Linked DNA regions of Rhinolophus ferrumequinum. The main gene of each other region encodes a partner of the protein of the gene in region 2 in a complex. Links are inferred from orthologs where the notes say so. Each region holds a gene or a part of one and is shown on either strand. Other genes may lie near its edges.

What was found. The genes of interacting proteins can lie anywhere in the genome.
Region 1: the proteins of IL1A (region 2) and S100A13 are in contact, whole or in part, in an NMR structure (PDB 2L5X), measured with the Homo sapiens proteins. The link is inferred for Rhinolophus ferrumequinum from reciprocal best matches to the Homo sapiens genes IL1A and S100A13. Residues at the interface, in NP_000566.3 of Homo sapiens: Asn148, Gln150, Tyr151, Thr194, Ala195, Gln196, Asp197, Leu203, Leu204, Lys205, Glu206, Met207, Gly216, Ser217, Glu218, Thr219, Asn220, His239; in NP_001019381.1 of Homo sapiens: Met1, Arg25, Gln26, Glu27, Gly28, Arg29, Lys30, Asp31, Ser34, Asp68, Ser69, Glu70, Lys72, Phe73.

Annotation. Positions count from the first base shown.
Region 1 is NC_046305.1:52,554,964-52,565,148, forward strand, and holds the start of S100A13 (protein S100-A13), read right to left. Parts: upstream 4,182-10,185; 5' UTR 4,047-4,181; coding exon 4,017-4,046; intron 3,862-4,016; coding exon 3,679-3,861; intron 1-3,678. Other genes in the region: S100A1 (protein S100-A1), read left to right, coding at 8,550-8,690, 9,684-9,827. UniProt on the Homo sapiens protein: Plays a role in the export of proteins that lack a signal peptide and are secreted by an alternative pathway. Binds two calcium ions per subunit. Binds one copper ion. Binding of one copper ion does not interfere with calcium binding.
Region 2 is NW_022680356.1:81,397-91,900, forward strand, and holds the start of IL1A (interleukin-1 alpha), read left to right. Parts: upstream 1-6,539; 5' UTR 6,540-6,614; intron 6,615-7,204; 5' UTR 7,205-7,212; coding exon 7,213-7,259; intron 7,260-8,214; coding exon 8,215-8,263; intron 8,264-9,037; coding exon 9,038-9,260; intron 9,261-10,501; coding exon 10,502-10,504. UniProt on the Homo sapiens protein: Cytokine constitutively present intracellularly in nearly all resting non-hematopoietic cells that plays an important role in inflammation and bridges the innate and adaptive immune systems.

The sequences.
Region 1 (10,185 bases), on a different chromosome or scaffold from region 2:
GGCCCATTGGGTAAAATTCCTCTGTGTCCCATGGTTAGAGATGGCCCAGCAAACATTTATTTACCAAACATTTACTTTTCTAGCTCCATGTTAACTGCTTTCCTTCCCACTGAAGTCCCAAACTGCAACCCCCACTTTCTCTTCAGCTCAAGATGGCACCTGAGCTTTACTGCCCGATTTGTCCTTGGGCCCCATAATCTTATGGAACCCCCCGTATGTACATACGTAACTAAATCTGGTCATTTTTCTCCTGTTAATCTGTCTCATGTCAATGTGATTATTAGAACAACCAAAAGAACTAAGAGAGGGAAATGGGAAATTTTCCCCTCCCAACAACTGTTACATTTTTAAAAAACTATTTATAGAACAGTAGGCAAAATGCATTTATTTATTCATTCTCTCACTCAACAATTTATGCTTTTCTTAAAACTTTTTTACTCTCTCACTCACTCTTCAATATTTTATTGAGCACCTATTAGGAGTCAGACACTGCTCTAAGTAGAGGTAAAAGAGTGATCAGACTCCTTTCCTCACAGGAGTTACATTCTTGGTAACATATACGTATATAGTGGAGGTCAAGTTGTGATTGAGGTGTTCTGAAAGAAAATAAAGTAAGGTAAAGGAATAGAGCACAGGGAGGTGATATTTGTATTCAGTAGTGAAGGCCATGCAAAGGATTTGCCATTTGAGCAAAAAGTTGAGTTACATGAGGAATAAGCCTAGCAAATACCTAGACGAGGGGCAGGGGTGAGCATTCTGGACCCGGAGAGGAAAAGTGGAGACAGTCAGTATAAATAACTCCTATGCTTTTGAGAAGTTTTGCTACAAAAGGGAAGCAGAGATATAAGGCATAGCTGGAGGGAGTTACAGGGTCAAGGGAGTTTTTCTTTTTTTTTCTTTTCTTTTTCTCCTTGTTTTTTTTTTTAAAGATGGGAGATATTACAGCATATTTGGAAACTGACCAGAACAATCCAGTACAAAGGGAAATTTTGATGATGCAAGAGAGGGGGGAAGAACTAAAAGGGTTAAAGTCTTTAAGTAGGTGAGAAGGGATGAGATCCAGGGCACCAGTGAAGGGTATGGCCTTGGGAGCAGACAGGGATGAAAGGCAGGGTATGTGTTGGTGGATCTGGGTGAAGGAGCACATAGAAGCTTCCTGATTACTCTTACTTCCTTCTCAGTGAGAGGGATGTGGAAAGAGGTACTAGAGTTTGAGGAGAAAGGAAAAGTTGTGAAATAATCATCTGAAAGAGCTGGTAAATGAATCGACCAGGGAAATGTAGAATTGGCAGACATCGCTGAGGGGTTTGTGATTATAGATTTAAAGTGCGACAAATGAACACGGCGGTGCCTTATTCTCCAGCCAGATTCAGCTCTAGAAGTGGAGGTACAGAATGGTGCATTCAACCAACAAGTTACTGGAGGTGAAATGTTGGCTTTAAGCTGGGTTGGGATTGTGCCAAAAGACAAGGACAGAAAGAAACAGAATCAAGGGAGTTGTGGGAGTGGTTATAATGAATGATGAGCCTTAGAACCCAGGTAAGTAAGAGGTGAAATGAGAACACAAGACATAAAGATAGAAGATGGAAAAAATAATAGGGAGTCAAGAAAATGCTGGAGTGGAGGAGCTAGAAACAGGTGAGGGAAGCAGAGTTGGCACCCCAAAATATGCCTTTTGGGATGGATATTGAGTACTCTAAGCTGGTTATTTTCAAGAAACGAGACTCAGGAAAAACCTTTGGCCTTCCCTCTACCTGCCTAGAAGAATTTAGACAGAGGACCTGCTTCAGGAAGGGAGCTGTCATCACAGATAACCATAGCTTAATATGAACTAGTGTGTGATAGCGAAAAAATGAGCAAGGCCCATTGGGTAAAAGTCCCCTCTGTGTCCCATGTGAAAGCTGGCCCAGCAGACATTCATTTGCTCTTCCATCTCTGTGGGAACGGCCTTCCTGCCCTTTTAGGTTCCAAACCACTCCCACCACCTTCGCCTTAGCTCCAGAATGGTATGTAAGCCTCAACCGCCCAGTGTCCTTGGGACCCATCTTCTTATGGAACCCCTGTGTGTACATACTTAATAAGTGTGGGTATTTTCTCCTGTCAATCCGTCTCTCGTCAATTTGATTATTATTCCAGCCTGAACTTAGAAAGGTAGGAGGAAAATTCATTTTTACCTTTTCACTCCCCTACAGAGGAACAGAACTGGAATGACATGGAAGACAGAGAAAAGGAAGTTAGAAATTGAGATCTTGGAAGAGGTGCGTTATTTTGGTAATACCAAGATCTGAAGCATGAGCAGAGGAGTGGAATCCTGAGATGCAGGGCGACAATCTTTGGAAGTGATGAGCTCAAGAAATTGAAAGGCCCAGGTGTTGGCTGAGCTGTCTCTGTGGAATGCTGAGGATAATGACAGCAGCAGTGATGAGAAGGAAAACAGTTAGCCAGGAACTGAAGAGCTATAAGGAAGGCAGGTGGTACCTGAGCTTCCAAGGAGCTGGGCATCTTAGGAAGAAGAAAAAAACTAAGATCCGGAAGCAGCACTGAAACGCAGAGGTCACTTCCTGCATTTCAACACACAGAGGAAGATAAACCAGCCACTATATTTTAATATTACTATTAGTTTCAGGTGTACAAAACAATGAAATAGTTAGACATTTGCACCCCTTACAAAGTGATAACCCCCCAATTTACTATCTGTCTGCCATCGTATACAGCTGTTACAATTCCATCGACTATTCCCTCTGCTGTACCCCACATCCCGTGACTATACATACATATATATGTTTAATTATAGTTGACATTCAATATTATTCAAAACCAGTCACTATTTGGCAAGGCTACTGGGAGTGCTGTACCTCCAGGAGAGAGCCTGGCGTTTCCTGTGAGGAGAGGATGGGAAAAGTCAGGGAAGCCTAAGGAGGAGGGGATTTTGCTGATGAAAGACTATGAGTTTCAAAAAAAAAAAAAAAAACTGTGAGTTTCAGAGACACTTGTTTTTTGTTTTTAAACCCATCTTCACACACTTTTATGTGCCTGTGAATTTTCAGGAAGGATGTAAAAGAAACTGTTAGCCGCCTGGGATGATGCCCAACCCAAAGTGGATAAAATTTAAATCCCTACTCCGTCCCCTGAGGAGAGACGGGGGGACCCAGCCAGGCGCATTGAGGGGATTCCCAGAGAGGGTGGGAAGTAACCACGGATCACTTACAGGTCCCTCCCACCCTGAGATCCTGACTCCATAAATGTGGCTCTGTTTTTATTTTTAACAAATCCCTTCCCACAGCGGGGCCTCAGTTTCCTTATGTGTGAAATGAGGAATGTGGATATGTTTTCTCTCGGCCTCCGTCTAGCTCTGACGGTCCGGGAAGCCAGCTCTGGGTCCAGTCCTCTGTGAGGCAAATGAGATCAGAGAGGCACAGCGCAGACACAGGAACCCTGCAGCATTATCTGATGCAGCACAAAGCCCCATAACACTTCCCCTCACACGGACACTGTTACCGAGACGCACACACACACACTTGGCAAGAACGCCCAGAACCACTTACACATGCAGCCACCCACACCTTTCTCCACAACACATCTGTGGTCACATTATCGTGCCCAGCAATATCACGTCACGTACACAATGTCCCACAGCCACTGTCTCCTAAAATCTCGGGCCCAGAGGCCCCCACCTACCTTGAGCAGGTGAGGCAACTGTTGAGTGGCCAGTTCCTTAAACTCATTGATGCTGAGGCTGCCTTTACGGCCCTCCCGTCCTGCAAAGGTGAAGAAGGTGGTGACCACTGTCTCGATGGCCGTCTCCAGCTCAGTCAGTGGCTCTGCTGCCATTAGGGTGGAGCTGATGTCCTCACGGGCTGACTGGTGGGAGGGAGAGGGGAGGAGAGAAAGGGAGACTCAGGACAGGCCAGAGTGCCCCTGCCCTGGGTTGCTATCTCTGGCTTCTGCCTGGAGAAGGCAGAGGCTTTATGGAGAAGGAACAAGCGGACAGGGATGAAGCTTGGGGCAGGGAGTACCTCAGTGCAGGTGACGGAAGGAGTGTTCATTCCAGAAACCCCTTCCTCTCTAGATCTCACAATCTAGGGGTCCTTTTGAAATGCCTATGTCTTAGGGACCCCTCTGTGATGGTCCCTCAGTCTGGAGACCCCTCTGTCCGGGAGGAGGTTTTCAATCTGAGGGTCCCGTTAGGAAGCCTCTCAGTCTCCTGGCCCCTCTGTAGGGTTCAGCCACAGGGCCCTTGCTTGGAATCTCACCGAGCCTCAAAAGGTCAGGAGGTTGTTTGTCTCCAAAGCTTGTTTGTGTGGGGACCTGGGTCTCCACCCGCCTGCTCCTCCCAGGAGAGCAGCCCTGGTCTGGCAAAGGCCCAGCCGTGGTCAAGGCTGGCTCTGTCTGACAGATCCAGCCTCCCGGTGGTCCTTCTCCGCTTCCCTCCCCGCAGGGCCGGTGCTGAGCCCAGGATCCTGCAGACCTCCCGCCCCTGTCTCCCCGAGCCAGGGGTCCTGGTTGGGCCTTGCTGACAGCCGGCACTCGGCACCCAGAAAGGGCTTGGTCCCGGCACACACAGCCCCAGGGGACAGGCTGGAGGAAAGGGACATGCCAACTCATCCTCCGTTTTCTGCCTCCCCCCACCACACCCCCACCTTACTCCCCCGGGGACTGCGGTCTGATCTCCCCAAGCTACTTTCTGAATCCCAGTCTGAGCTGGCTCCAGGGGCGGGACCTGGGAGTCCAGGGAGGAAAAGGGCTCCCCGGGTTCCCCCCAGAATTAGGGGGACACGACTCACCAGGGGAAGTCACAGAGACGGGGTGCAACACGAGGTTGCCGCGGGGCTGAGGTTTATAAGCGCTGGGCGGAGAGGCCAGGGCCCCTCCCAAGCTCGGAGGTTTCAAGTTTCCTGGTTGATTGTGGAGGGAGGAGACGTCCAATCACGCCTGGCGCCCCCCTCCCGCCCAGCTCCCAGCGCCCAGAAACCCGCCTGGGACCCCAGCCCCTCAGCCCAGCCCACAGGTGCCCCCACTTGGTCGGGAGGTGAGGGTGGGGATCTGCCTGAAGCTGCCAGATTCCACTCAGCCAGGGCCGAGGGTCCTATCCCCCCCAATATGGGGAGCCTCTGCCCCACCACACCCCAACATGTAATCAGGAGTGTGTATGTTGGGAGCGGGGGTGGGGGAGCGGGGGTGGGGGGGAGGGGGGCCCTGCGGGAGGTGACTGCAGATTGATTGAAAGAACCAACTGCAGGAGCTCACTCAGGACTGAGAAGCCCAAGCTAAGAAACACCACATCGCTGAACGAGATCTCTCAAAGGACCCTGAAGCCCAAGACCCCTTCAGAGGATCCCAAACCAAGACCCCGCAAATACGGGAATCAGACCGAGACCCCTGTTGACATAGAAATTTCCAAACCTGTAGAGCATTTTTATGAGTTTAACTGAACCAAACTGATGACAATCACCTGGAGGAGGCAAAATCTCAACGGATTGAGAAAATGTTCCCGAGAATGGCTTTTTTGCAGCTGATTTCATACATTAGAATCCAAGGAGGAGACGGAGGGGGTTACATGGAATCCATGGGCAGTAGATTAGGGAGCCGGGAGAAGGCAAAGGGGGCGGGGACCTCTGGGATTGGATAAAAAGTAAAAGGGAGAGACACACAGTTCTTTCACATTGTGGGTGCAGGATAGTTAGTAACATTTACAGCACATGGAGATGGCATGTGTGTGTGTGTGTGGGAAGGACAAGGTAACAGTGAAGGGTTCTATGGTCTGTGCTCTCTGTAGGAGGTTGTGCCCTGGGGGTATGGAAAAGGAGATTACTCTGACATTTTAAAGTAATGTCAGTAACTATGTTATCTTAGATACAAAAAGGAAATAGTCAGGCTCCCTTAAGGTAAAGATTAACCTCTATCAAGAAAGCTACAGGCCTAGGATGGGACTACCTGCCATGACAAGCTTTTAGTTAGGAATTTTGATGTTCCGACCATCCTGTGTGGTTACTCCCTGTCTCTGAGTTTGTACAGCCTGCCATGCAGCCTCCCCTGAGCGTGTCGGGTTCAGTCTGTGGCCCCTTTTTTATCTACCTCCCCATCGAGGGTACCCTGGATTGAAATCCCTCAGTGGGGTCTCACACTGAAACTTCGGAGGGTGACTCCCAAGATCGAATTATTCACGGAGAGCTCCCAGCGGCCTCCAGCCCTCCCTGCCTAGCTGGCCACAACCGGGTACTGCGGGGGTAAGGGGTGTCTCAGTGCCCTTCCCAGGACCTTTCCCACCTCCCTTCCTCCAGGGCCTGCCTGTTGGGGCCCAGCAGTAGGGGGGAGGCAACCGAGGCTGGAGAAGAGGACACAGGGCAGCTTGTTCCAGCCCAGGAGACAGAGGGCGCCTCTGTCCACTCCTGGCCCCTTGCCCCACTGGGTGTCTATCTGTGAAGGGGTGGAGCCAGTGGGGAGGGGGGTCAGCGGGGGAAGGACGGCTGAAGACAGGTCTCCACACACAGCTCTGGGAGCCACATTTGCAGCCTCGTCTGTCTGTCCAGAACCTGCTCCCACCTCAGGCCCAGGCTGACAGTGAGTATGCCACCCCATCCTGCCCTGGCCAGCCTGGGGGAAAAGGGACTTCAGCGGGGCTCCAAGAATCTGGGGACGATGGCATTGTGGTATACTGAGGGTTGGGATGAGTTCGAGTGACAGCAGTATGGGATTTGGGGGAGACAGGGTTTAGAAAGTGGTGAGGGGAGACAAGTGAAGGTCAAAGAGAGATCTAGAAACTCAGAGAATGAGGAAGCCAATGAGGAGCCCAGCCACCAAGCTTCCAGATCAGGCTCTCCTACCACGAAGCCCTCCAGTGCCCTCTCAAGCCTCCCTCAATCTCCCAGGAGCTGGGGAGGGGTCCCAGCGCTTGGCTCACTTCCGGTGGGATAAGCTGGAGAGGACAAATGGAGCAGCTGCTCTGCCTCCCCCACCCAGCCTTGCCAAGAGCTCAGGGCCCAGGGACGTCTGGTAGAGCATGGGCCATGTGACATCAGGAAGAGGGGCACTCGGGTGTGGTACCCACTCCCAACTCTCCCTTTCTCCTCCTCCCCTTTCTTGGCCCAGACCTCCAGACTCCTCTTTTCCTCTTTCTTTCCTCTTTGTTTTCCCACCCGCCCCCTCCCTGCCGAGGTCCTCTCAGGATTGCCCCCACATGAAATGCTTGGCTGCTGGCGAGCTCCAGGCAACCCCCAGGTGCCCGTCCTGGATGGGGCCGGTAACTGAGCCACCAGGCCCCTCCCTCTCAGGCCCCTTATCCCCTCCATCAGCCCCGGCTTGGGTTCCATCTCCCCCATGTCTCTGTGACAACCACGTCTCATGTCCGGAGTTCAGGTGACACTCACAAGGGCCCCATTGAAGAGCTGGGATGTCATCTGATCAGGGCCCATTGTCCAGCCCCTCAGGCCTAGGGAAGGATGGGGACACCTGATCTAAGACACCTGAGCTGCCCCCTGAGGCCGTGGTCGGGCTGAATGTCCCAAGACAGAGAGAAAGAGGCCCCCTGGCTTGGCAGTCCCCTCTCCTCAACAGACCCCTCCATTTTTCTCCCCCTGTCTCCCAGCCCCTTGAACTCAGAGGACCTAATGCACTCGGCCCTTTATCTCCCCCAATACATACCAACCCCGTTCTCCCTGCTGCCACTGTCCCCACTCCAACCAGACTGGGCCTGGAGGGTGGGAGTAGCTACTAGCAGTGACAAGTCCTCATGGGTCTCCTCTTCCCCTCCCTAGAAGCTCTGGCTCCAGGGAAAAGTCTCAGACATTCCTGTCCCTTCCCACCACCACCCCATGGAAGGGCTAACTCTGTGGAAAAGTAAGAGGAACCAAGCTAGAGACATACCCCCGGGAAGTGCCATGCTCAGGAGAGAACAGAGTTGAGGGACCAAAAGATGCCCCATCTGCTGACAGGAAGCTCAGAGGCAATGAGACTTCCTTCCCACGACCCTTGGGCCGCCCACTCAGGCTGCCACCCTCTCCATCAGGCTGACCAAGGGCACCAGACTGACTCCTTGCCAGGAGTGGGCAACAGAGTCAAGTCTGTAGACAGGAGCCCAGCCCACCACCTCCAACCGCAGAGCTTGGCTATGCTAGGCAGGCAAGGTTCAGGGTAAAAATAGAGCCAGAGGAAGCCTGGCTGGGTCCTGTGACCACCCCTGCCTGCCTGCCTGCCTGCCACACCCTCGTCAGTATCTGTGCAGCCAGCCAGGAGACACTGCAGGGTCCACGCAGGCCTCTAGAGCCAGCCCTGCTCCAGCTGTTCCCCCTCCATGCCCCAAACTCTGACTCCCTCTGGCGGGGGTTTGGATGGAGGGACACACAGAACAGGTCTGGACTTAGATCTGTTTGGGTTCCCCTACATTTTAGGGTCCCACTGAGAGGTACATTGTGATGGAGCTCCAATCTCATGGCTATTTGGGCTGTGGGACCAGGACCAGGCCTGAGGGCTCCCTTCACCCCAACCCCAGATATCCTGAGCATGGTCCCCTGCTCACTTCCATGGTGGGGGGTGCATAGGTGAGCTTCGAGATGGGGTCTGAGCTGGAGACGGCGATGGAAACTCTCATCAACGTGTTCCACACCCACTCGGGCAAGGAAGGGGACAAGTATAAGCTGAGCAAGAAGGAGCTGAAAGAGCTGCTGCAGACGGAGCTCTCCGGCTTCCTGGATGTGAGTACAGGGTGGGGGGATTGGGTGGAGCGGGCAAGGGCTGGGGGGCACCGGGGGCCCCTCCCTGCCCTTTCCCCAGCTCACCCCAGCTCAGCCCAACCATCTCCTTCCCGTCCCAGGCTTCTCTCCTGGGTTTTTCCAGGCTCCCCTACTCCTGGTTCAAGCCAAAATGCCCCGAGTTAGTGATCATCTGTCAAGGACCAGGACCTGCGTAGATACAGCCATAACAAGGCTCACAGTCTGGAAAGGGAAGATTGACCCTTGAAAGTAAATTTTGGACACCAGGAAGCACACAGAGCCTTAACAGAGGTGCCAGGAAGGATTCTGGGAGAACATTAACCTGACTGAAGTGGGATGGCTTCTCCACAGAGGCGACACTTGAGCCATAGGTTTCCAATGGAAGATGCTTAGGATGAAAGTAGACATTTTGGGTGGAGGCGTTTGCGTGAATAAAAGCACGGCAGAAAGAAGAGTATGGAGCACACTCAGTAGTTTCGACTGCAGGGAAGGATGCAGAAAAACAGGCTGAAGGAGAAGCCTTCAGCTTCTGAGGTTTTATTAGACCTGGGCTCAAGCTTGGGCGCAGCCACGCTCACTCTAGCTGTGTGACTTTGGACACATTATTTAACCACCAACTGTCTCTTTGTTTCTTCTCTAGAACGGGAATAATGCAACCTACTTCATGCTATTTGTGTTAGAATTAAACGAGACAGTGCTTATAAAGCTCCTAGTGTAGCGCTTGTCCATTGTAGGCGCTCAACATATGATAAATGGGTGTTTCTAACTCTGCCTCGTTGAGGGGCTTACTGTATAGGCAGCAGGAGGCCGCAGTGTTTGTCAGTTTCGAGGAAGGCAGCAGAAGAGTCCCCTAATTAGATGTAGCACTCCCTCTTGCTCAGCTCTGCCTCCTGCTCCCCAATCAATCACCCCCCCCTTGGCTCTAACTGGGCGCCATCCATCTCCATACACCTCCCCGTCCATCTCCCTTCACAGGCCCAGAAGGATGCAGATGCGGTGGATAAGGTGATGAAGGAGCTGGATGAGAACGGAGACGGGGAGGTCGACTTCCAGGAGTACGTGGTGCTGGTGGCTGCCCTCACGGTGGCCTGTAACAACTTCTTCTGGGAGAACAGCTGAGCAGACAGCCCCAGTGGGCAGCGCCCTTCCCCTCTACCCTGCCACCCCTGCCCGTGTACTCTGCTTCCCCCTCACCCCGCGCCCCGCTCCCCACAGTCCCACCCTTGCCTACCCTCCAACAAGGGCGCAAGAGTCGTGGGCCAGGCCTGCAACTCTTTCATTAAAGGCTCCTCTCTCGCCAGTCTGTTGTCCTTCCTTTGGGCTCCGGAACGGGGGTGTGATCCCTCCCCATCTGCCTTATTCGGGGTTGGCTCTTATTTGGAGAGAGGTCAAAGGACCATTACATCTTCCTACTGGAGGAATATTCAAGGCCCGGGAAGGCAGGGGTTCAAGATACCAGCTGCAAGTGCAGGAGACA
Region 2 (10,504 bases):
CAGGCAGGCTGGGAGAAGCCCAGCAGTCACCCCGGCTACCTCCTCCTTTCACAGGTGGGGAACTCCCAGAGGGACGTGGAAACTGTCGTGGGCCCCTCCACTGCTCAGGGTCACAGTCAGATCCGACCGCATCTGCCACAGCGGCCACTGTCACCTCGGTGTGTGCTTTTGTGTTCTCTAACCCTGTGACAGGAATGCTGTATCAGGAGCCGATCCTGCCCAGCAGCCAGGAATTCACACCTAGGAGGACGAGACGGGTGCTCTGGGCACAGACCTGTGCTGCTGCTGAGCACCGCACGCTTCATGAGTCAGCTTCACACCCACTGAGAGCTCGGGTTCCATAGTTACGAAGAATGCTGGAAAACCTGTGACACACCGTAATTGCTATATTTTCAATGTAATTGTCATATGATTTTTATCTGGGAGGTTAACTCAACAGTACCAATTTTATCGCTGGCCTCTTTATTTTCATAGCTAATGGATCTTTCTACGGGGAATCAGAATTTGGCCGAAATGAAAGCATCTTATTAGGTTCTTGATTCTCCTTATTGGAAAATTCATTGAACCGATCATGTGAAAAGGGAATTTGAGGTGAAATGCCTGTCACCTTGGAGTCTGTGACAGAGAAGGGAAGGAAGGATAGGCACACACTGTAGTAGTCAGAACAGGTCATGTTATAGCACAGAAACAAATAAGCCCTGAAATGTCAGTGATGTAACAGTTAGAGGTGGGTTGTCACTGATGCAAAGTCCACCGTACGTAGGTTGTCCTAGTGTCGCCTACTGGCAGCCACGCCATCTGGAACGTGTGCCTTCCAAAGTTGCTGCATCAGAGGACGATGGAGGGGAGGGAGACGCATACCGGGCCTGGATTGCATCAGCCGGGAAGTGGAACACAACGCCGTCGCTTCCTGCTCAGGGTGCACTGGCCAGACCCAGCCGCGCGTCGCTAATTAACTGCAAGGGAAACCAGGGAGTGAAGACACACATTCATCCAGTAACCCCACCAGCGAGCGGATCTACCACAGGCAGGGCCCCCGGATTTCAGGAAAGCAAGTACTGAAACGCTCCAAGTATGTATTTGCAAAGAAACAGATCCATAGGTGCCTTGATAAAAGAAAGACGGGAAGGAAATGCACTGCAATGATAACAGTGAATGCCCCTAGGCACTCAAGTGTTTGTGGGTTTTATTTTCTTCTTTATATTTTTATATTTCCCTAGCAATATTAAATAAATGTTTGAGAATCCAAAAAAATGTAATTTTTTGAATTGAGAAACAAGTTCAGACCAGAAATAATTACGACTCCAATGAGGAAAATGACTCAAAAGGAAAGGGAATTTCTTTAAAACGCACTTCTGATTAGATGAGCACAATTAGCCAGCAAAAACAAAAGTGAGAGATGGGCCCAGACATGCCGCTTACATACAGGAAGCTCTCTGGTGAGATCGGATTTTTACAGCATGTCTGTACAAGACGGAGAGGAGGGCACAGGGCCAGGCCAAGGCAGAGGGGCACAGCCCTAGGAACCACTGCCTCAAGAGACGAAAGGGAATTTAACCAAAACACGCAAATTAGGAAACAAATGAGCTAAGGCAGAGAGGGGATCCACTCCAGGCCACAGCACTCGGATCTCTGCTCTCCGAGGCCCAGAGCACGTGCCCAAAGTGCCTCCAAAGTGAAATGGGCAAAGGCCTTGGTGGGGTCTACATAGGCCCTGCCCACCTGGCTCTCGCCCTCCTCCAGACCTCACCTCCTACCCCTCAGTCCCTCCCTCTCTGGGCGACAGACTCGTGCCCTACGTTCATTAATCTGACCCCACGACCTGTGCTCAGCCTGGATCATTCCCTCTTCCTTCCCCAAGGAAGCCCCCACTCCCAGTTTCAGAGGAGCCCCTCTGTCAGATGCCCTCCCCACTCTCACCTCGGTGTGTGCTTTTTTGTTTTTTAATTTTTTTAGATAATTTTTTTAGTTTCCAATTATAGTTGACATTCAATATTATATTAGTCTCAGGTGTACAGCATAGTGATGTACAACATTTATATAACTTATGAAGTGATCATCCTGCAAAGTCTAGCACCCATCTGACACCATACATACCGTGCTTCCCCGAAAATGAGACCTAACCGGAAAACAAGCCCTAGCATGATTTTTCAGGATGACATCCCCTGCACTTAAGGCCTAAAGCATCTTTTGGAGCAAAACTTAATATGAGACCCGGTCTTATTCAGGGGGAAACACAAACACAGGAGCTATTACAATATTATTGACTGCAGTGCTTGAGCTATCCCCTCCATCCCCATGACGACTGTGTAACTACCAAAGTGTACTTCTGAATCCCTTCCCTTCTTCACCCAGGCCCCCAACACCCCTCCCATCTGGTAACCATCGAATGCTCTTTGTATCTATGAGTTTGTTTCTGTTTTGCTTGTCCGTTTATTTTGTTCTTTATTTCACATATAAGTGAGATCCTATGGCATTTGTCTTTCTCTGTCTGACTTACTTTACTCAGTACAATACCCTCCAGGTCCATCCATGTTGTTGCAAATGGCAAGATTTCATTCTTTTTTTGGGTGAAAACTATTCCATCGTACATACGTACCACCTTTTCTTTATCTATCCATATATTGAGGGGCACTTAGGTTGCCTCCACATCTTGGCCGTTGTAAACAATGCTGCAATGAACATACGGATGCACACATCCCCTCGAAGTAGCATCTGGGTTTCTTCAGATAAATACCCAAAAATGGGATTACTGGGTCCTTCTTTGTCTCTTGTTATGTATAGCCTTTGTTTCAAAGTCTATTTTGTCTGGTGTAACTATTGCTACCCCAGCTTTTTTTTTTTTCAATTCCCTTTTCATGCGATATCTTTTTCCATCCCTTTACTTTCAGTCTGTGTGTGTCTTTCGATCTGAAGTGAGTCTCTTGTAGGCAGCATATGTAAGTGTCTCGTTTTCTTATCCATTCAGCCACCCTATGTTTTTTGACTGGAGCACTTAATCTATTCACATTGAAAGTAATTGTTATAGATATGTCATTATTGCCATTTTTTAATTCATATTTCTTAAGTTTTTTCTTCTTCTTAACGAAGTCCCTTTTATGCTTCTTGCAGTACTGGTTTGGTGGTGATGAATCCTTCAGTGCTTCCTTGTCTGGGAGCAGCACGTGCTTACCTACTTCACTGTCAGCTCCCAGGAGAGTGGGAACCATGGCCAGTTTGGCTCACTGAATGGGCTTTCATGCTCTTTAGCTCCTTTTTTACTTATGGGTGAGAAGCCATGGGAGAGATTATTTCTTCACCTTTTTACTGAAGAGCCAGTGTCTCTAGGAAGGAGGACATTTTGAACTAGAAATCAAGTACAGTGAGTTTTCATTTTTTGGCTCCCATTCTCATATGAGCTCTCCATGGGACCTTAGGACCTTTTTACTTCTCTCTGAGCCAGTGTGCTCTTTTATAAAGTAAGAGTTTAATCTAGATGGCATCTGAGGTGCCTCCTTCTCCAACACAGCATCCTCTGGAAGACTAGCAAGACAAAGACTCTGGCGTCTGAATCCCATTTCGGCCACTTGGTCATCTTGTGCCCTTAGGTAGATGGCTTAATCCCTCCATCCAGACTTCCTCTTCTGTGAAGTGTGGTGAGAATGCTAGCTCACAGATCTGATAGAGGATTAAACAACATGACATACTACCCTGTGTCCCCGAAAATAAGACCGAGCCGGACCATCGGCTCTAATGTGTCTTTTGTAGCAAAAATTAATATAAGACCCGGTATTATATTATATTAGGCTCCTCACCTAACCACCTCAGCATCCTCAGCGGTGAATGGGACAGAAAGCACTTTGTCTCGTCCGAGAAGCGAGGCGTCAGCGACACAGTGCAGGGGACAGCTCTGAACTGTGAAGCCGTTTCCAAGGAAAAGCATCCACAAGGGTCTTTGGACCCAAGACCTCCGTGGTAACAGATTCCACTCACCCACCAGCACACACCTCATTTCGCACATCCACTCACCTGCCAGAACACACCTCATCTCACACATCCAATGCTGTGAATCATGAAAGAAAAATACTGACGCCTAGTAAAATGCCCACCACTGAATAAGTGCACAATCATTTCTTCTGAATGATTTAGGTAAAAATGACTCAAGAAGGGTTTTCGAGGCCTCCTGAGAGTCAACAGGTGGGCGCATGAAGCCACCCAAAGTCCCTGTCGCAGGACAGCCCCAAACCCCTAGGGGCTCCAGTGGAGAGCCACCTGGTCCATTCCTCTCTCCGTTCCCTGGAGAATGGTGGCCTGGTGCTGAGGCTTCCTCACAAGTCCACGTTGGTTCACACTCACAGAATAGTAGGCTCCCCCAAACCAAGCAAGGACCCCTCACCCACATTGCTCTTCCTTTAGAAACCATTTCCGGGTGGACGGGTGGTTCAATTGGTTAGAGCGCGAGCTCTGGGTAACAGGGCTGTCTGTTCGATTCTCACATGGGCCAGCAAGCTGCACCCTCCGCAACTAGAATGAAGTCAATGAGCTGCCACTCAGCTCCCCGGTGGCCAGATGGCTCAGTTGGTTGGAGCGCAGGCTCTCAACCACAAAGTTGCCAGTTCGACTCCCCCTGCAACTAGCAACGGCAACTGGACCTGGAGCTGAGCTGCGCCCTCCACAACTAAGACTGAAAGGACAACAACTTGCCTTGGAAAAGTCCTGGAAGTACACACTGCTCCCCAATGAAGTCCTGTTCCCCTTCCCTCCCGCCCCCCAAAAAACAAAAAAACAAATCCAAAAAAAACTATTTCCAAGAAGGTTACATGAAGGACAAAGTTAGGTAAGACCCCCAGACTCAGTTGTCTGTCTAGAAAAACATTTCAAACTCTCCTTGAAAAATTCCACTACCACACTGGGGAATTCTCTACAGCAGAGATGTGCCAATGGGCGAGATGGGTGTTGCCTCTGGTGGTGGAACCAACGGTATTTTCCCAGATTACCAAAGAGGTGCTACATCTCCTTTTCAGAAGCTAAACATCCTCACAGTTTCAACAGAGGCCTTCACCTGAAATGTCCTCCCTGTTGAAGTCTCAAACCAATAGTTTCATACGACCTATTTTTCCTTCAGTGAAACGAGGTGTTACAGTGATGACGATACAGGTTCCCAAGTGCGGAAGCCATCATTAGTGCTGGTAGTATTTTTGTTTACTTGCACCCCTCTCCATCACACCCCTCGTTCACAATGAGCTCTGCAACTGCTTCTCAGTAATAGTCCTCACAAGACCTCCGGGAGGCAGCATGACCAGCGCTAACACTTCTGTGTTGCCTGAAGGGGAAGCACAGACGTGAAGAGCTGGTTGCCATCACCGTCCATACAGTGATCGCACTGACACCAAGCTCTGCCCCCATCTGGCCCTACGTCCACGATGCCAGCTCTCTCTGTGGCCCTTGTCTTTGATGACTGAAACAGCAGATCTATAACCAGAGGACCTGGGCTGGGCACAGAATCAGAATTGGAGACTTTGTGCCTTGGATAGACCTTAATGACCATCTACCCAAATCCACTGTTTTGCTGGACAGGACCAGAGAAAACACTTTACCCAACTCACACAGGCCATTTACTCCCAGTCCGGTGCGTTTGGGCTTTTCATACCATGTTGCCATGCTTCACCTTTCTTCCTCCACGCTCTTCCATCAGTTTCCGTTGGTTAAAATTTACATGGCTTCAACTCCAACCAAGAAAACTGAAACATTTACATGCTGAGTCTGGTGTTCTACCACCTGACCTGGGCTGGCCTCAGAATGCTGAAAAAGTCTGATGCAGTGTCCTATTTTGAGTCCCTTCCTTTCCCCCCAAACTCTGTCCTTGAAGCTAGCCACTGGCTGCGGCGGGGCTCGGCCCACCCTCCATGAGTCTGCAGCTACCCTCACACACCTGGGGTCTGTCCTGGGGTTCTGGTGGAGGGACACTTAGCTGTAACATGGCCAGGGCAGAGAGCTCTCTCCTAAGCTGTCCCTTTGTAGGAAGTGGGTTGACGGGCTGCAGAGGAGCAAAAGGATGAGAACTTGTGTGGCTGACATCACTTTCCTGTCCTCTAACCTGCCCCGAGCAGGAGGTTGTCCCCACACTGATTGATTTATGCTTCTTCAAGCAAACCCACACCTTAGCTGCCAAGTACCTATCAATTCATACTTAGTTGTGGGGGCCATAAACAAATTAAGCCAAAACTCAAACTACAGCTCCTAAGCTGCTCTCCAACCCTAGTACCCATAGTTCTGATTTTAGCAGTTCTCCTTCCTCTCTCACCATATATTTTTAGAAACTTGTTACATTTCCTGCTTCTCTTCCCTTTCTCTAAAACTGTGTTTATAACTGTTTAGAGCAAAACAATAAATAAATGAACCAAGTCAGAAACTGCAGGAATATCTGCAAATAACATTATCAAGTTTATAATCTGTCATTTGGCCAGTATAAGGTTGAATGAACGTAAAAGAAATGCAAATCAGGATCCTTCCCTGTAAATTCCCATGACGCACCCTGGCCACACCCACTGCACAGAAGACAAAAGGCCCAGGAGCGGAGGCAGCCGCTTCTTCCAGCAGAGCCGACTCACCTCCCGGAACCGGAGTCGGCAAAGGTACTGTCCTGGTCACATTTTGGCTTTTAAAATATTTTTTGTTTCTCTCCTTGACTGTTATCTCTCAAACTGCCTTCTCTGAAGCTAAAGCCTCTTCCCTCCTGGTTCTGTGTGTGAGTTAGAATCACAATCGGATTTCAGAAAATGATCCTTCCTCTTGGTGGGAACTGAGGGACGGGGAACTGCTTCCACAGGTGGCCGGTGGTGCAGCCAAGCCTTCCCTCAGAGGGAACTCCACTTCCAAAAACTGCCGAGAGAAAACTGGAACTTCCCAAGTCTGCCTCTCTCTTGCATCTGAGTGAGGCAAATGCCTCCTTCTTGTGGGGTTTTTGAACTTAGCCAAACTTGACTGAGTGCCTACTGTGTGGGCACTAAGGGATACCAAAATTCTAAAAGAAACGTACAGTCTGCTAGAGGAGGCAGACACCTATGCAAATGGTTCAAGGGAGTGAAAAGAATGGGGAACATGCTGAATGTGGTTATGCCATGAGTTAAGTTGCCCAAGAAGCACAAAGCAGAGGTGGTTCCCCTCATAGGTGTCTGGTTCAGAGGTCATCAAGGCTGACAGCCGCTGGTGTTCTCCGTTGCAGAAGTCAAGATGGCCAAGGTCCCCGACCTCTTTGAAGACCTGAAGAACTGTTACAGGTAGGAAATGGACTGTGATCTGATGAGGGGACCCAGGCTCATTAGAACCCACCCAGCGAGGAGGTGCAGTGACCAGCATGGGGCCAGACCGGCAGACGCTATAGAGATGGTCCCACCTCCAAAGTCAGAGCAGGCTCAGCAAAGGCTTAGGGAAGCCAAGCATCCAGCATGTTAAACGGATGTGACGTTGACAGGAAGACGGCCATTACCAAAAACGTGTTTTTTAAGGCCTGCTGAGTCCTAGCGAATTTCAGCGTCTATTCATACACAGCCTGGGCTGGGTCACATGCTCGGTCTGGTACAGTAAGGGGTTCTAAAGGCCTCTTAGAGAGAGACCACCCTCAGGAAACTCCTTGCTCTCAATCTGGAGAGGAAAATGGCTCCACAGCAATCCGAGCACGCGGGAGCTCATACACACTCAAACCTAGTCAGATGTAAGAGGAACGTAAGTGAATAAAAGGTGTAAATTATAAAACACTTTCAACAACATGTTCTCATTACCTGCTTTACCTGCTAATATGCACTAACACACGCTCGGCCATCCAAGTGTTGTTTGGGTGTTTTGCCAGGTATAAATTACTAAATCCATTTTAGTGAGTACATGAAAGCAATGAGTAATGTAGTCTATTTGGTCAGAATTTAAATAAGGTGCTTCGGCAGAACTTTTCTCTTGAGGAGCTGAAATCCAATTACAACTCCTGTTTGTAAGCCAAGCACTGTTTCTGTTGATAAAGCACAGGTAAAGTTCAAGGCCTGTCCTGAAGGTGACTAATTCCAGGTCAGCGAGGTACAGATTACTCTATGTACGTATGTACAGAAGTCGTTCATTTTCAAAGATGGCAGGAGTGTCCGTGTGTGCACACACGTGTCCCAAAGCTAATGAGGTTATTAAAATACATTGCCTGGTGGCCATTGTGATCTAACAGAATGACATTCTCATCATCTTGTTTGACAGTGAAAATGAAGAATACAGTTGCGAAATTGACCAGCTCGCTCTGAATCAGGTAAGCAAATGGCTGCTTCTTAGGGTGGCTGTTCTGACAGTCATATTTTCTCCACGGGAGGACAGCAGCTATGGCTTCAGTCCCATAGGCCTCTGCTGTGCCATCTCGAGATGTCCGGAGACATGCATGTCTTCATTATAAGTGAGGCAGACAGGGCTGATGGCATTCTCCACACTTGCCGGATTTTCCCAGAATAGAGCACAACTACCCTGCACCCCAAGGACTGGAGTCTCCCTGCTTCATCAGATGCTAGTTTGCCACCCTGAGACAGAGCCTTCGGGCCACTTCTCCAGGGGTCTGTCACCTAAAGATATGTTCTGGTCATCCTCTCCGATGCCAGCTCCAGACATCAGAGACAACCCTCCAACGTAACAGCCCAGGAAGCCGAGGTGGACCAAGCAGGCCACTCACAAGTACTCCTATGTGTCTTTGGTACTGGCTCTAAAAGCCATTCCCAGAGGAGTATTTCTAACATGTCTGAGCCCTGTCCTAAGCCTAACTTCCTAAGGGGGAACTATTGGAGAGTCTCAATGTTAGCCTGTTTCACTGTATCTCATTTTTGAGTCTGCAGATAAATGACAAAGACTGGCCAAGAGATGGTATCCTTCCAGGGAAATGCTAGGAGGGAGGAGGAGGGGATGACTGAAGAAAGGTGGGTAGCCGAGACCCCACTGGCGATCCTTCTCACTATGCCCGTTGAATAAAACTCCCACAAAAGGAGTCTCATCCTATAGCCACAGACAGCCTCTCAGTCTCCACCTCCCTTCCTCACAGAAATCCTTCTACGACGCAAGCTATGACACACTTCATGAGGACTGCATGGGTAAATTTACATCTCTGAGTACCAAGGAGACCTCTAAGACTTCCCAGTTTACCTTCAAGGAGAGCGTGGTGGTGGTGGCAGGCAATGGGAAAGTTCTGAAGAAGAGACGGCTGAGTTTCAACAAGGTCCCCACTGATGACGAGCTGGAAGCTGTTGCCAATGACCCAGAAGAAGGTAAGGGGCCATGTGCCGTGATATCCTTGTTTGCCATTTTTAAGCAAATGGGCACAATAGAGTAGAAGGGCAAATAAAACCTAGAATCAGGGTGACAGGGCAGCCAGGCATTAGTCTAGTAACTATCAGGAAGGAAAATTAATTTCTATGCTGCAATGGGGAGAAAGCAGCCTGGCCTGGGTCTAAGATACTTGCTCACATGCTCATTTCACGGCCATACTGTAAAGGTCATGTGACTTCGAGCCCTTCAGCAGGAAATGGTTACACACTGTTGGCGGGTGACACTGACAAGCCATGTTGCTTCTCATGCTAACTGTGCCTCATTGGGAAAGTTACTGACCTTTCTGTGCTTCAGTTTCCTCTACTGAAAAATGCACACGATCAGAGCCCCCTACCTGTTGTGAAGATTAAATGTGTGAATTCCCGCAAGCTCCTGGACTAAAATAATGCCTGGCATGTAGCAAGTACCCAGTAAACGGCAGCTATCATTGTTGCATGACTACCATTGTTGCTACCACGTGTTAATGGTACCAGCACCACCAGTTTACTAATGGCCGCATTATCTTCACAACAACCACTGCCACCAAGAGCTTAGCAGTGCCCACACGATGGCCCACTCCTCAGTCTTTCCCGCATGTGTAGCACTGTTAGGCTCATATGTACCCAATCTGTGTCTAGCTTTACTCACTTAGCAGCATATTGGGGTCATTAGAGTGCCAGTTTTCAGTACCATAAGCCATGTGACAGAGACCATCCAAACCGATGAACCTTCATTTCTACCACCACATCGTTTCTTACAATGGCCTCCTAGAAGCAGTGATGCAGAGCTGGGGGATGCGTGAGGCTGTGGGTGCCTCCAGCATTCAGAGGGGCGGTGGGCACAGAGACCTGCTCCCTCAGGGACACACACAGTTCCCCACATGTTCGCTTCTTGTCTCAGAGCGCTTTCCTTTCAACGTAGGTAGGGTCAGCAGCAGTCTCCCCAGTTACTTAGAGTCCTCCAAACAACCAAAATGACAAAGTTGCACAAATAATCTCTTTCGGCGTCCAGGTCTAAAGAGAATGTTCCTACGGGAATGACCCTGGAGCTGGCTCTCCTGCTTCTGGGTGACTTCACCTGTTCCCTCACCTGCGTGGCCCATTCCTAATGTTCCTTCCACAGCTACCCCCGTGCTGCCTACAGCACATGTCACCAGCATCAGCCCCCAGACATTAATCTGAGCTTGTGCTAATGGTTGCAGAAA